2 linked regions of the Rhinolophus ferrumequinum genome follow. The protein of the gene in region 2 purifies or fractionates together with the protein of the main gene of each other region. This does not show direct contact. Links are inferred from orthologs where the notes say so. Each region holds a gene or a part of one and is shown on either strand. Other genes may lie near its edges.

Region 1 (7,935 bases), about 36 Mb from region 2:
CAACCTCCATCATAGCCCTTAATTCCAGAATCCGGGATTCAATCTCATGCTGCTGCTGGCTCTCCACAGGTGCTTCAAGAGCTGGCTCGCCTTGCTCCTGAAATAAGAGGCTCTGAGTACATTCAACTCTGACCTTGCATCCCTGAAATCCAGGCCTGAAATTAAACCACAGGCTATGGGGGATCTTATTCTGAGATAAATTTCCTGAGTTCTTTCCATGGTCCGTCTCTACTCCACGAACTTTCAGTATCACCACCAAATTGTTCTCACCAACTGAGCTCTCTGAGCCTGGATCAGAATTCTTTTCTCTTCCAGAAGGAGGTTAAAGATCATCGCAGCCAATTGGGTGGGGCCCTGGGGAAAGGCCTGCAGTAGGAAAAGAGAAAGAATTGATTGAACTCACCTGCCTTCAATGAACCTTCCCACCAGTGACCCCAGTACTTTCCCCTCTTTCAGGGTCCCTAGCTCGTCCCCTTTTCACCACAGGTCCCCAGATTCTAGCCTCTTCCCATCTAAACACTGCCCTTCTCTCTGCCAGTGATCCTTCAAGTCCAAACTCTGTCCCCCTTTCCCCTGATCTGCCCCTGTCCCTTTGCACCTCTAGGTCCTATCCCATACCCTAAACTGTATTCCGCTACACTCAGCTCCTATTCCTACTTTGTTATACCCAGCTCCTCCAAATACCTGAATGTCCCGATAGAATTTTCGCAAGTTGTGCTGTAGCAACAAGCACTCAGGGTCCTGGCTGCAGCGGCCACACTCATAGCTCAGTTGATCCAAGAAGTGGAAGAATAGCATGTTAGCCTTGGAATCATCGTTGCCCATTGCAGCTTCCTGCCTGGGGAACAGGAATGACCAAGATTAGTATCTCTGCAGGGTTGCTATTGTCTTGAGGCCTCCCAACCCCTTCAGGCCCTTGGTGTCTCCAGGATCCGGGGGCTCTGAAGAATGAAACCACTTTCCTCACCTCCCTCACCACACTCCCAACTTTCTGAGGGCCTCACCAGTTCTGATCTTCAATCCATACAGCCAAGTACTGTCGAATATCCACTGGCAGGAGGCTATTTGTGTAGAGCTGGTGCAGAAGATCTTGAAATGGGCTGTCGAGATTCTGCAGCTTCTCCCATTGTGCCATTTGGGTTCCGAGTCTGAAGGATTCAGGTTCCCAATTGGAAATTTGACTGGACTAAATCATCCACAGTCTTATGATTGTTTATTATTAAAATTGAACATTTTAAAATTATACAGGTAAGAAAAGATACAGAAAAAAAAGGGGGTGTCTAGATTGATCCCACTCCCAATCCTGGTCTCTTCCCCTCCTCTCCAGAAGTAACCAAAATTATTAGTTTGGTATATATTCGTCCAGGGTGTACTATTTAAGAGCTCCAATATGTGGGTCTTTTTGTTTTAATTGTAATTTCTAAACATACACCAAAGTAGAGTGAATAGTACAAGAATCATCCATGTACTCATTATTAATCTTCAACAAACATTAATGATATTTCTATCATTTTTATTTCATCTATCTCTCCCAATAAATTTGCTTGTGTTTGTATTCGTTTATGTTGGAGCATTTAAAAGCCAGTGTGAGTCATTAAGTATTTATTTCAGCATCATCCTTGCTGGCCCCAAAGCTTTATTGGGGACTTAGGTACACCCTATAAACTGCTCTCCATGTAGGAAGGAGAAGCTGTATTCTAGGAGATGTTTAAATGCTGTGCAAGGAGTCACTCAATCCCTAAGGTTGTGACACTGTTATAACCTCTGTTGATCTCTGATTCTGCTCATGGATTATCAACTTTGCAAGAGACCCAGGAATTTCACTCAAAACTGTTTTTTCCTGTCACCAAGTAGGCTGGGCAGAGAATCCTTCTCCCTACCTTGCCCCGCCCACTGCCATCTATCTATTTAGGAAACGAAAACTTATTCTTGTTGCAGCCTGGGCCTAACGGAAAAGAATAAACAGTACATCTGTGGTCTAAAAAAAGTCACATGATTTTATTAGAAATCAAAGAAAAATGTTTGGGATGAGAGAGGTTCTTTTCCAAAAGTATGAATAATTATGAGCTGCCTGCCTTTCTATCCCTGGTAAGTAGGAACAGGGGAAGGAAAGGATTGGGCAGGGGCTCTTATTTTTCAATTTAACCCTTTGAGTAGCGCTTGATTTTTATAACTATGTACCTGTATTGCTTTTTTTAAAAAATGACGAGGCCCTAGTTCTTAAGGAACTAGTGGGCTGGTATTAAAAGAGTAAGGCAGCAAGTAAACCCTGAGTTTTAAATGTAAAAACAAACAAACAACGAAAGAAACAAATCTGGTCTTAAATGGACTGCAAACACTTGAGGTTAAGGCTCAACACGTTCCTCTCCAGTTATCCTCACTCTCTTAGGCACATACTATTTTGTGTTCGAAAAGCTGTTCTGAAATACACTTCATGTTGGATGTGACCTTAAGCAAATAGTTTCACCTTTCTGCGTCTTATGCTTTTTAACATAACAAATAAAGATAATAAACTGTACCTACCCTTAGACATTGATTATTTTTGTGTTTATGAAGATCAACAATTACACAGACTAGAGGGTAAATGGCTAAGACACTGAATCAATGTAACAATGCCAAGTTCCGAGTCCAGGGAGTTCTGGGAGGAGGGCATTAGGATTGGGGAGCTAGGCTGGAGTGGAGGGGGGGTTGATCCAGGATGCAGCAGGCGACCGCTATTTCATCCGGGGGATACAGGTTGACCACCACGGGGCGTAGCCCCCGGGGTCTGCCACCCTTCCCAGGGAGGAACTCGCGCCTCCATCCCCAACCCCCGCGCGCCCTCTCAGGGCCAGTACCTGGTTGTTAGGGTCTCAGTCCTCGATCCCTCCAGTGGCTCCGCTCTAGGCTTCGGTTCCCCAGACGGAGCTACCGCAACAGCGTCTCCCGCCCCGCCCTGGGCTTCGTCCCGCCCCTCGGGCCCGCCCCCTTGCCGCGGGCTTCAGTGGGTTCCTGAACCTCTGAGGTCGCCCTTCCCAGCCCCGCACCCCTACACTGGCTCTTCAGGCTGTGAGCTCATTGGTGCCGCCACAACGCCTGCCTCTCCGCGGGGCGGACAAGCAGAGCGGAAGCCACAGCTCCAGCTCCAGCGATTGGTGGGACAGCTCAAGTAAGCCCCTCCTGCGCGCTAACTGCGGAGGGGGGAGTCCAATTCATGGAATAGCTCAGGACTCGAACAGCTGATTTCCGAGAACCCGCTCTACAGCCGCGGAACCGAGACTAGATCGGGACCGTGGAAGCACTTAGGGCTCCTTCAGAAGAGGTGGGACCGGAATTTCGAAACTTTGGGATAGGAAGGGGAAGGCTGATGTAATACCAAAATAAAAACTGTTTATTGATGGTACTGTGCTAAGTAAGCACGTTAGGTTCATTGCATCGTTTATGATTTCCACAAACCACACTGAGGTGAAACTCATTATCTCCACTTTAGAAATTTTAAAAACTGAGCCTGGAGAAAGAAGTTAAGTTACTAGTCAGTGATCACTGAGGCTTTAACAAGTGGAGCTTGGATTCAAACCAAACCCTCTGACTCCAAACCCCAAACTTCAAAATTCCTGCATTTTACAGCACTGCCTTCTATAACAAATCAGATATTTAGACTCTGAACACACACATATAGCCTGTCAGAATATTTGATTTATTCATTCAGTGTTTCACACCTTTTATATACCAAAATTCCCATTCCCAGGATCTATGTTATAGTTCTTGAAGACGGGCCACCCCCAATAAGGAGTTGAATCTACTACTTCTGACACCAAAGGGGCAATGGCAGTTGTTTCTGCCATGTCACTCATATTTGAGGTGCTGTCCAAGCCTTCCTCGCTGGTCTCTGGAGGGATGTTTGCTTCTTTCTCCTGGTAATAGTGGATCAACTGTTGAACCCCAGCCTTCACTGCAGGTTTAAGGGCAGTGCTGACCACTACTCCCACGGGCCCCCCTGACATTCCAGCCATGGTCATCAGAAGGTCATAACCTATATCTATGGCCCCATCTTGGCCTCGTTGCTTGGCCTCTTCCAAGCAGTTCTGAGCAGCATAATACAAAGCTGTGCCCAGGTTGTAGAAGGTGCCCACTCCTGGCAACCACTGGACTATATTGTGCACACTCTGCTCCTGCTCATTTTTGCAGTCCTCGATGGGGAGGGAGCGTCGGGCCCTCTCTGGGCCTTGCTGCTCCTTGGCCAACAGCTGCAAAGCAGAGGCCAGGGCATCCACTGACACTCCCCTCCCTGTGCTTCTGCCTTTCTCCAGCTCTTGAAGATGTCGGAAGAGGATCTGTGTGGCATTTACACCCCCCAGGCGGTAAAGCTGAAGCTGCAGGGCCTGTACATCAGCATGGCAGCCAGCTTCCTTCAGTGCAATCATCAGTGGCAGGCCTATCAGGAACTTGGGTAGACGGGCCATGTGCGTATAGCCAGGCAGGGATTTTGGGACTAGGATCTGGCAGGAAAAGGGGTCTGAGGAAGGTGGCCAGGATTCCAAGGATGAAGGAAGGTGCATCAGGATATTTGTCTGGTTTCCATATGAAATGGCATCCACAGTGTGCAGCAGGAAGTAGCAAAGAAGCAGCTCAGCTGGTATCATGATGTGTCTGAGGACACCCATGTCTGGACCAGAGTACGCTGAAAAGGGGGAAAACCAGAAACATCCATTAGGGATGTAGTCTGAAAGGAGCCCAGGACTCAGGGCACACCTCATCCATCACCTTTAGGCTTCTGCTCTTTTCAGGTAAAGGCCTAAGGGACAGGAAATGCAACCCAGTTGTTCCCACTGGCCTTCTCCATCTTCAGGTTACCTGGGACTTCCCCTGCTGTATTTCCACCCATTTATAGGGGGTCCCAAATTGCTACACAGTCCAGTCATTGAGAAGTGAGACTGCGTTGATAGGTTTGGTAGCTGCTCAATCCCGTGCTCCCCACTTCTCTGTCCTATAGGGGAAAGATATTTGTTTTCCACAATGATCTGTAAGAGATGTAATCTCTGCAAATATTTGTCCGTTTGTATTGGCTGCTCAGACCTTGTCCCCTTGTCACACACTTGACCTCAAAACCTAAGATCTTGTTCTTTGGCATTTCCCACAGGTCCTGCCAAGTGCTCACTCTAGCTCATGAGAGGATCTGAGAAACTCAAAAAGAGAAGAGATTAGATGTTTATTATTTGCTCTTTTTAAATTTCTCTTTTCAGTTTAAATTAGCAAGATATAGCGTCTTGTTGGGGTTTTAATACAAGGTAGATGAATGAGAAAAGGTTAAAATACCGCTCATGCTTAGAACATATTACATGTGCAGTATATGATAACTGAAAGAAAGAAAAGGGAAAATGGAATAAGAAACGGGGACTGAGAACTACTAAGTGGAAAGGGGCAAGGCTAATACCAGTTGCATGCGTGTCTTAGCACTGGGATGAAATACAGAACATGCTTTTGACCTAAGTGGCCTCCAACATTTCTAACTACTTCCCATATTCCCATTCTTGATCATAGTCCTGGGAAAGGAGACTTGTTGCCTAGGTGGCATTGAATATCTAAAGTGAACCTGGATAAATTCCTGAATCAATTTCCCCATAAAGAACCTCAGATAAGTGTGGAACATTTGATAAATTATATTGTCATCATCCACAGAAACTGAGACGCTCTTAACTTGGGTTTTCTTTAGCTTTTTGCCTAACTCAATATGTTCCCAAGTGTAGTCACACAGCACCTAGCCAACTGTCCCCCCATGTCTTTCCTTAAGGAAAGAAGAGTCTGTGAGACTGTGCCTTTCTGGGACTCTGTTCCATCCTTGTGTTTACACCTTATGTCTCTCTGTCTGGTCCCCAAAAGATGGTTTGCAGCCAAAGACGGGTAAGATATCTCATGGGAGATACAACCTAAGCCAGGCGGAACCGAGTGGGGACCCCTAATGAGCTGCCTTAGAGAAATATGGAAAGGGGCCTTGCCTCCCCTTCCCCCTGCCTGGGAAAGTCTGTTGCCCGCTCTGGCTTTTCCCTTGCACCTGTTTGTAAGAGAAATCATGAAGACAATAAAGATCAGTTCTCTCCACTTATCTCAACTGAGCTGTTACAATGAGAGACTTGACCCTGAAAAGGTACATACCTTAGGTAGGACATCATGGGACCTTGTGCTTCGGCTGTTTATAGACAAAGGGTGATTGGAATAAACATTTTTCTGCTATGATGTATGAGTCTCACAGACCGTGTAAGAAACAATGTTACTTTCTTGTATTTGTATACCTATCAATAAAAGCCTTCAGTCAGCCTTATTCTGGGATCCAGTTCTCTGAGACTGAGAGACCCCTGGCCTTCTGAGAAATTTACCTGCATTAATTCTCTGCTTGTTTCTTAGAAACTTAACCCAAACCTCCCCTTCTCACACCCTCACTGCCCTTGTTGCTCTGGACGTGACACCCAAGACTCATATCTGAAGTTCTAGGGGATGTTGACAGTAAAAGCTTTGAATTGTTTCACCAGCAACACGGCTTCTCAGCAAATTCAATTACCATCTGCGCTAATTGCTAGATCAGCCACCCCCGTGGTCGTATTCACCGCCATCAATATACATTCCTCAGGGTGAGGAACTGAGTGTTGGATTTATCCAAGCTCCCCTGCAGGTCCTCCCAGATCCCTCAGAATGACCTTAGTATTGCCTCTAGAGCACCTCAAAAGAGGTGACAATTGAGCTGACTCGTGAAGGTAAAGGCTCCTCATGAAGACAGGCAGGGTGTTATGTGTGTGTGTGTTTATGTGGTTGGAGCCTTCCAATAGAGGTACTGACATGATTGACCATTTAGAGGCATGAAAAAGCCTGATTTTGGAGGATAGAAAGTAGTCCAAGATGAGGATGATGACGATGTAAGGTAGGTGTGTGGGTGGGGTGGCCGTAAGGCTGCAAAGACTGGCCGAGGTCAGGCACACCACGCAGAGGCTCTGGACTCTGTCCTACAAACAGTGGGGAACCATCAAGTGCTCTGGACAGGGGAGTGATATAATCAAAACTATATTTTAGAAAGATAACTCAGGGGACAGCTTGGGTGGACTTAAGAGAAGGAGAGATTGGAGAAAGACTAGCAGGGCAGCTGCTGCAGGAGTGTCAGTCAGTGATAACAAGGAAATTGCAGTGAGGCGATCTAGAGTAGTCAAATTCATTGAAACAGAAAGTTACCAGGAGCTGAGGGGAGGAGGAAATAGAGAGTTGTTTAACGGGTATAGAGTTTTAGTTTTGCAAGATGAAACATTTCTTGAAATGGGTTGCACAACGTGAATATGCTTAACACTACTGAACTGTACACTCTGAAAAGGTTAAGATGGTAAATTTTATGTTACATGTTGTTGTTTACCACAATTAAAAAACTAAACTACAAAAAGGAAGTAAATGTTTTTTTTTATGTATGAGTTGTTTTTTTAGAATGAAAAAGAAAAAAAATTTCAGATTGAGTGGACTCAGAGTATACCAGAAAATAGATGAAAAACCACCCCCGTATTTAATGTATTAGTCTGCCAGAGTTGTCGTAACAAAATCCCACAGAATGGGTCATTTAAGCAACAGGAATTTTTCTCAGTCAGGAGACCAGAAGTCCAAAATCAAGATGTTGTTGGCAGGTTTGGTTAGTTCTGAGACCTCTCTCCTCGCCTTGCAGGCTGCCTTCTCGCTATACCCTCACCTGGCCTTCCCCTGTACATATGCACTCCTAGGGGCTCTTCTACTTCTTGTAGGACACCAGTTCCATTAGGGTCCCACTTTTATGACCTTATTTAACCCTAATTACCTCCTTAAAGGCCCTCTCTCCAAATACAGTCACAGTGGGGGTTAGGGCTTCAACCCATGAATTTTGAGGGGTACACAATTCATTCCATAACACCTCGTGACATTATCATGTAATACCAAGAATAAAACCTATGA
Region 2 (7,055 bases):
TCTGTCACTGACCTGCACTCTGTGAATATACTAAAACCCTCTGAATTGTACATTTTTAAGTGGGTCAATTTTATGGTTATGTGATGTAGATCTCAATAAAACAGGTTTTTTTAAACTAACTAATTTTCTTATGCAGAATATGGTTTCTCCTTATTAATCCTTTATTCTGTTTTCCTGGAATTCTTTATCTGTAGCTGAATTAGCTCTGAGGACTCTTAGGCTTACTTATTCTGAGAGACAGAAAAACAGTGAGTGTGAAAATAACATATGCATAAATAATACCAATTCTGTGCCTGTAAAAATGTAGGCTTTTAAAAATATTTCAGATCTACATAAATGCTTCTCATATAAGGGGTCCACAGTCTACCTAACGTCCTTGTTCACTCATGACATTAATCCCTCCCCTGGCCCTCTCCTCTCACCTTCCTCCCCCCTCTTCCAACCTCCCACCTCCTTAAGAGAACTGGATCAGGAGCCAGCGCTAGGAGGACTGTCTTACATGGTACATCGTACTTCTGGAGACAGGAGACAAGCTCCATGGGTCGCACTGCTTTCTGCCGGCTGTCCTGCATCTTCTCCAGCAGCAAGAGCAGCTGGAAGGGGACACTTCTCCTCTGCTCTTCTACTCCCCTTGGCACTGTTATCCTGCCAAATAAGAACAACCACGAACCTCCTTATTCTTCTCAATGTTAAGTGCATACGGGAATCAACTCGAGGGAACTTTCAAAATCTCCATGTGCAGGCCACTCTTCACACTAAATCAGAATTTCTGAGGGTGGGACAGAATTTTTAAGTTTCCTGGATGATTTAACTGCACGGACAAGGTGGAGAAACACCATATAAGCAAATCAGCTACAGAGAGAACCCTGCTGAGAGGGGGTCAGCACAACCGCTGCCTCGCCTCTCTCCCCACCCTGCCCGACAGTCACACTAAAATGAAGAGCAGATGCAGTAGGTCCTGGGCCCACAGCAAAGTGGCCAAGCAGCACCATGCCCACTCTGAAGCTCTCCAAAATGAAAAAGCAGCACTCATCCAGGTCTTGGGAACAAAGGGGAACAGGGAGGGATGTCAGTGCCTTTTGGCAATGATTTATTTAATTACAGGCATCTTTCAATTGCCCATGCCAGTGGAAGGGAAAAAACAGAAAGCACAGGGCAGAAAAGAATGTATGATAAAATACATACATGCACACACACACCAGTGATTTTTAAGTGTGTGCGTGGGTGTGGGTGTGTGTGTTTTGTTTGAGAAAAATCAATAGACTCATGCACCTACACACTGGTTTACTCCTCCTTTGACATTGGTCTAGTCCCAACTTCCTTTTAATCAAATCAGTGGCTGTCAATCCTGACTGCAGTTTTCAATCACTTCGGGCATCTTTTAAAAAATACCAATGCCTGGAGCGCACCCTAAACCAACTGAAACCAAATATCTGGGTGTAGGACCAGGCAATTTTTAAAACTTCTTAGATGATTAGAATGTGTAGTCCAGATTGTGTAGACAGGACTTTTCTCTGGCAACTTTTGAAAGAACTGTGACTAACTGAACCAAGTCACTGTGACTAACTGAACATTCAAAAATGTAAAGTAATATACATGTTTACTAGCCTGCATGATAGTCTTACCTCTTCAGTATCTGGGTGAAGCCCACATTCATAATGAATACCTGGATTAGGGAGTTAAGGCAGCAGGTCTGTCCAATGTTGTGTAAACCAACTGGGCCTATAAAGGAAGAGAAAAAAACACTGAGGGAAGGCCGAGCTAAGGGATTTAACAAAAATCATGTTTTTGTAGCCTCTACAAAGGACATGAAACCCTGTAAAGTACTCTCAGACGTACAAAGAATTCACTAAGGAGCTTGCAACAAATTCAGGAGGAGACATAAAGCATGAACCTTTGAAAAGTGAAATAGCAACACAAGTTTTAGTAGTCCATTAGGCAAAGAGATGTCACAAGAAATTGCGTTACTCATTGTTAAATGAATAGTACAAGCAATTGTTTTAAGAACAAAGGAAAAGAGGAACATTACAGAAAGTGGAACTGGGAGAATTACGAGTTCCTTAGAGACTGCAGTCAGAATGGGCAACTAAGGGCTCAGGGGTAAAAGGAATTTCAGACTCCAGTGCAGTGGAAAGTCCCTACTCAGTTCCTACCATACGGCTGGAGAAATCAAACGAAAGCTTTAGGGAAGATCCACTAATCTAAACTCGCCTTGAGAGGCTGTAAGCCAGAAGGAACTTATGACGAGGTGAGAAAACCAAAGGATAGCATCTCTCTGACCCATTAGCAACCAACCTCTCCTTTTCCAACCCAGACTTAGCTCTGCAGACCCCATGAGGTGAGTTATTTAAGTGGAGGAGGGGGAAGATTAACACTAATCTTAGGGTTCCTGGGAAAAGGTTTTGGTGTACAAGAGATAGGGTAATAAGAAGGTGCAAATCCAGGTATGGCAGGTAATCACAGATTTCCACTTGCCTCTAGATATACTAGCACACAGATATAACAACAAAAAAAGAAACTAATGCTGAGTGCTACTATATGCCGAACACTGGTTTAAAGCAGTTCCCACAGATTATCTCATATATTCTTCCCAACAATCCTATGTGCTCAGTACTATGATTATTCCCATTTAAAGGAGACGAAATGGAGACACAAAGATCAGGAGTCATTAGCCACAAAGCTCTACAGCTTCAGAGTATAGTGGGTGAGCAAAACGTCTCCACACAGTCAAGGAGAGAAGGTGGGAGGGAGGTAACGACCCTGAGAGCGGTCCCAAGCTGCGAGGCGCTCTGGGAGCTGACTCCTCTTCTTCTTCATGTTGCTGTTTTCTTCCTTCTTCTCAACAGGGTCTGTGGAGAACGGCTGAGACTCAGTCAGGACTGACTAGCAAATTTTCTCAGGAACCCAAACACTTGCCCATTAGGGATCACTCCAAAATTTCCAGACAGTTGGCTGACCAGTCTTCAGGACTGCAGATCCCACTTCCGGGAAGAGCTCTCATGAGACAGCCTTGGTAGGACTTCTGTGAAAACACACCATAGGCAGTTAAGCATAAGAGAAGGAGAACAAGTATTCGTGTGATCAGTTCTACTTCCAAACAGCCAAGTCTGTGAGGGAGATGAATGCTTGGAGAGACTGACTCAAAAAGCTCTGGGGCTAGAAAAGAGAACTAGGCTAGACACCCCCTCTCCTTCGTCCCACATGCCTCCATTTTTATTTTATCAGAGTAGTCTGCCATATCTTCTTCCCTCCAAGTTCTCTGTTCTAGTAAATGGCACAGCATTCACCAATAGGTTCAGACCAGAAGCCTAGTGTGTCCTTGCTCCCAGACCCAAACAACCATTGAAGGCTGTTAAATTCTACTGCCTAAAGGCTGCTCACAAGAACTTTCCTTGCTATGCATGCCCTAACTTCCTGGTGGAAACAAATAACATAAATGGAGCCACTTTAAAATGGAGTCAGTGCTGCAACCCCAGAGGAACTGCTTTGCATGTTTTAAGCGTCAAAACTTTGGAATGTTAAAACTGGGCAAAATAACCTTCAGACTGGGCCTAAAGCAACATTGTATCTCAAAGAACTATTGGCAAAGAAACAAGAAAGCAGATATTACAACTAACCGACTGCCGGACTGCCGATTACCTGGACTACAAATTAAAAACATAGTTTAAATTTAGCCCCACTGTGTTAGCTTAAACGCACCAATAGAAATGTCCTCCTTCTCCCATTAATATCAACGAATAGATCATTCAGGCCAAAAATGAACAAGGAAACAATGGCCTTAAATGATAATTAGACTAGATGGATTTAATTAATATTATTAGAGCACTTCACTCCAAAGCAGCAGAATATACTTTCTTTTCAAGCACACATGGAACACCTTCCAGGATAGACCACATATTAAGCTACAAAACAAGTTTCAATAAATTTAAAAAGACTGAAATCATATCAAGCATCTTCTCCCACTACAATGGTATGAAATCAAAAATCAATTACAAGAAAAAAACTGAAAAACACACAAACACATGGAGGCTAAGTATCATTCTGCTAAAAAAATGAATGGGTTAACGATGAGATAAAGGAAGAAATCACAAAATACTTTGAGAAAATGACCCAAAATTGACGGGGTACAACCAAAGCAGTTCTAAGAAGGAAATTCATAGCAATACAGCCCTACTCCAAAAAACAAGACAAATTTCAAGTAAATAATCTAACCTAACACATAAAGAAACTAGTAAAAAAACAACAAACAAGCCCAAAGTGAGTAGAACTAAAGGTATAATGAAGATGAGAGTGGCAATAAATGAAATAGAGCCTAAACAAAAATACAAAAGATCAATGAAAACAAGAGCTGGTTCTTTGAAAAGATAAACAAAATTGATAAACCTTTAACCAGACTTATGAAGAAAAAAAAGAGAGAGCATGCAAATAAATAAAATCTGAAATGAAAGAAGTGACAACTGACCACATAAAAATGCAAAAGATTATAAGAAAATACTATAAACAATTATATGCCATCAAATTGACAATCTGGAAGAAATGGATAAAATCCTACAAGAAAAGAATCTTCCAAGATGAGTAAAGAAAAACAGAAAATCTGAACAGACTGATAACCAAAAACAAAATCAAATCAGTAGTCAAAAAACTCCCAACAAGCAAATGTCCTGGACCAGATGGCTTCAAAGTAAATTTTACCAATCATTCAAAGAAGAACTAACACCTATCCTCCTCAAACTATTCCAAAAAATTCAAGAGAGGGGAAGGCTCCTAAGCTCATTGTATGAAGCCAGCATTATCCTGGTTCCAAAACCAGACAAAGACACTACAAAAAAAGAAAATTATAGGCCAATATCCCTGATGAACATAGACGCAAAAATCCTCAACAAAATATCAATAAACCAAATTCAACAATACATTAAAAAGATCATACACCATGATCAAGCGGGATTTATTCCCAGGATGCAAGGTTGATTTGATATCTGTACATCAATTAACGTGATATACGACATAAACACAATGAAGGATAAAAAATTACATGATCATATCAGTAGATACAGAAAAGGCATTTGACAAAATCTAGTATACATTTACGATTAAAAAATCTCAGCCGGAAGCCTTAGGCACTGAGACTAGCCGCCCCCTCCCTACCCTCCCAGAGCTCACCCCGCCCCCACCTACCCGGTGCTAGAAGTGGAACGGTAGCAGTAGTCAGATCAAAAGAACAGAACATTTGCTGTTCTGAGAACTGTGGACCGCAGACACAGATTCACAGGCAGTCTCCAAGGCACATTGTATTCACAGGCCTTCTCCAAGGCACATTGTATTGAAGCTGTCTAAAATCAACGACAAATAAAGAATCCTCAAGGTGGCCAGGGAAAAGAAGACGGTAACCTACAAAGGAAAGCCCAGTAGACTATCATCAGATGTTTCAGCAGACACTTTACAAGCCAGGAGGGAGTGCAATCAAATATTCAAACTATTGAAAGAGAGAAATTATAAGCCAAGAATAATAAATCCAGCAAAGATATCCTTTAGATATGAAAAAGGAATAAAGACCTTTCCAGACATACAGAAGCTGAGGGAATTTTCTAATACACAACCTGCACTACAAGAAATACTAAAGGAGGCTATTCGACCACCATCAACAGGGACAATTTGTGGCAACCAAAACATAAAAAGGGGGAGAGTAAAGGCCTGAACTGGAACATGGCAATGGAGAAAGTAAGTGTGCTGAAGAAAATGGAATACTCTAAATATCAAACTTTCTGTTACATAAACTTAAGGGTAACCACTGAAAAAAAATCCGAAACTGAAATATATACTGTAATAAAAGAAGAAACAGAGGGAAACATCATAGAATACCACCACACAGAAATAATAGACAACAACAAAAAAGCAAAGAAACCATGGAGACACAGCCTTACCAGAAAACTAAAGATAGAATGACAGGAAATCCTCACATATCAATAATCACCCTAAATGTAAATGGACTGAACTCACCAATAAAAAGGCACAGAGTAGCAGACTGGATCAAAAAACTAAACCCAACCATATGCTGTCTCCAAGAGACGCATCTCAGCTACAAGGACAACCATAGACTCAAAGTGAAAGGGTGGAAATTGACACTCCAAGCAAATGGTACCCAGAGAAATTCAGGTGTAGCCATAATGATATCAGATGAAACAGACTTCAGGGTGAAAAAAATAACAAGAGACAAAGATGGACAGTACATAATGGTAAAGGGGACTATACAACAAGAAGACATAACAGTCATCAATATTTATGCCCCCAATCAGGGAGCACCAAAATATACCAAGCAACTACTAACAGAACTAAAGGGAGAAATTGACCAAAACACAATTATACTAGGGGACCTAAATACATCACTGACAGCTATGGATAGATCATCCAAACAGAAAATAAATAACCAAATAGCAGCCCTAAATGACACATTAGATGAAATGGACATAATTGACATATATAGAGCACTTCATCCTAAAACATCAGACTATACATTCTTTTCTGGTGTGCATGGAACATTCTTAAGGATAGACCATATATTGGGACATAAAATCAGCCTCAGCAAATAAAAGAAGATTGAAATCATACCAAGCATATTCTCTGATCACAAGGCTTTGAAATTGGATATCAATTGCAAAAAGAAAGCAGGAAAAAACACAAATACGTGGCGATTAAACAACATACATTTAAAGAACGACTGTGTCAAAGAAGAAATTAGAGGAGAGATCAAAAGATACATAGAAACAAATGACAATGAAAAGACATCCTACCCAAATTTTTGGGATGCAGCAAAAGCAGTTTTAAGAGGGAAATTTATATCATTACAGGCCTATCACAAGAAACAAGAAAAATCACAAATAAATAACCCATGTTACACCTTAAAGAACTAGAAAAAGAAGAACGAGTGAAACCCAAGGTCAGCAGAAGAAAGGAAATAACAAAAATCAGAGCAGAACTAAATGAAATAGAGAACAAAAAGACAATAGAAAAAAATTAATGTGACAAAGAGCTAGTTCTTTGAAAAGATTAACAAAATT

What was found.
Region 1: the proteins of USP18 (region 2) and STAT2 purify together in Homo sapiens (affinity purification with western blotting; 6 studies listed by BioGRID and IntAct, with this or other methods). This does not show direct contact. The link is inferred for Rhinolophus ferrumequinum from reciprocal best matches to the Homo sapiens genes USP18 and STAT2.

Annotation. Positions count from the first base shown.
Region 1 is NC_046293.1:55,665,977-55,673,911, forward strand, and holds the start of STAT2 (signal transducer and activator of transcription 2), read right to left. Parts: upstream 3,008-7,935; 5' UTR 2,838-3,007; intron 1,149-2,837; 5' UTR 1,136-1,148; coding exon 1,005-1,135; intron 839-1,004; coding exon 685-838; intron 367-684; coding exon 271-366; intron 98-270; coding exon 5-97; intron 1-4. Other genes in the region: APOF (apolipoprotein F), read right to left, coding at 3,702-4,643. UniProt on the Homo sapiens protein: Signal transducer and activator of transcription that mediates signaling by type I interferons (IFN-alpha and IFN-beta).
Region 2 is NC_046293.1:91,640,766-91,647,820, reverse strand, and holds the start of USP18 (ubl carboxyl-terminal hydrolase 18), read right to left. Parts: upstream 3,019-7,055; 5' UTR 2,921-3,018; coding exon of another isoform or gene 2,917-2,920; 5' UTR 2,818-2,916; coding exon 2,760-2,817; intron 1,723-2,759; coding exon 1,626-1,722; intron 646-1,625; coding exon 500-645; intron 1-499. UniProt on the Homo sapiens protein: Interferon-induced ISG15-specific protease that plays a crucial role for maintaining a proper balance of ISG15-conjugated proteins in cells. Regulates protein ISGylation by efficiently cleaving ISG15 conjugates linked via isopeptide bonds.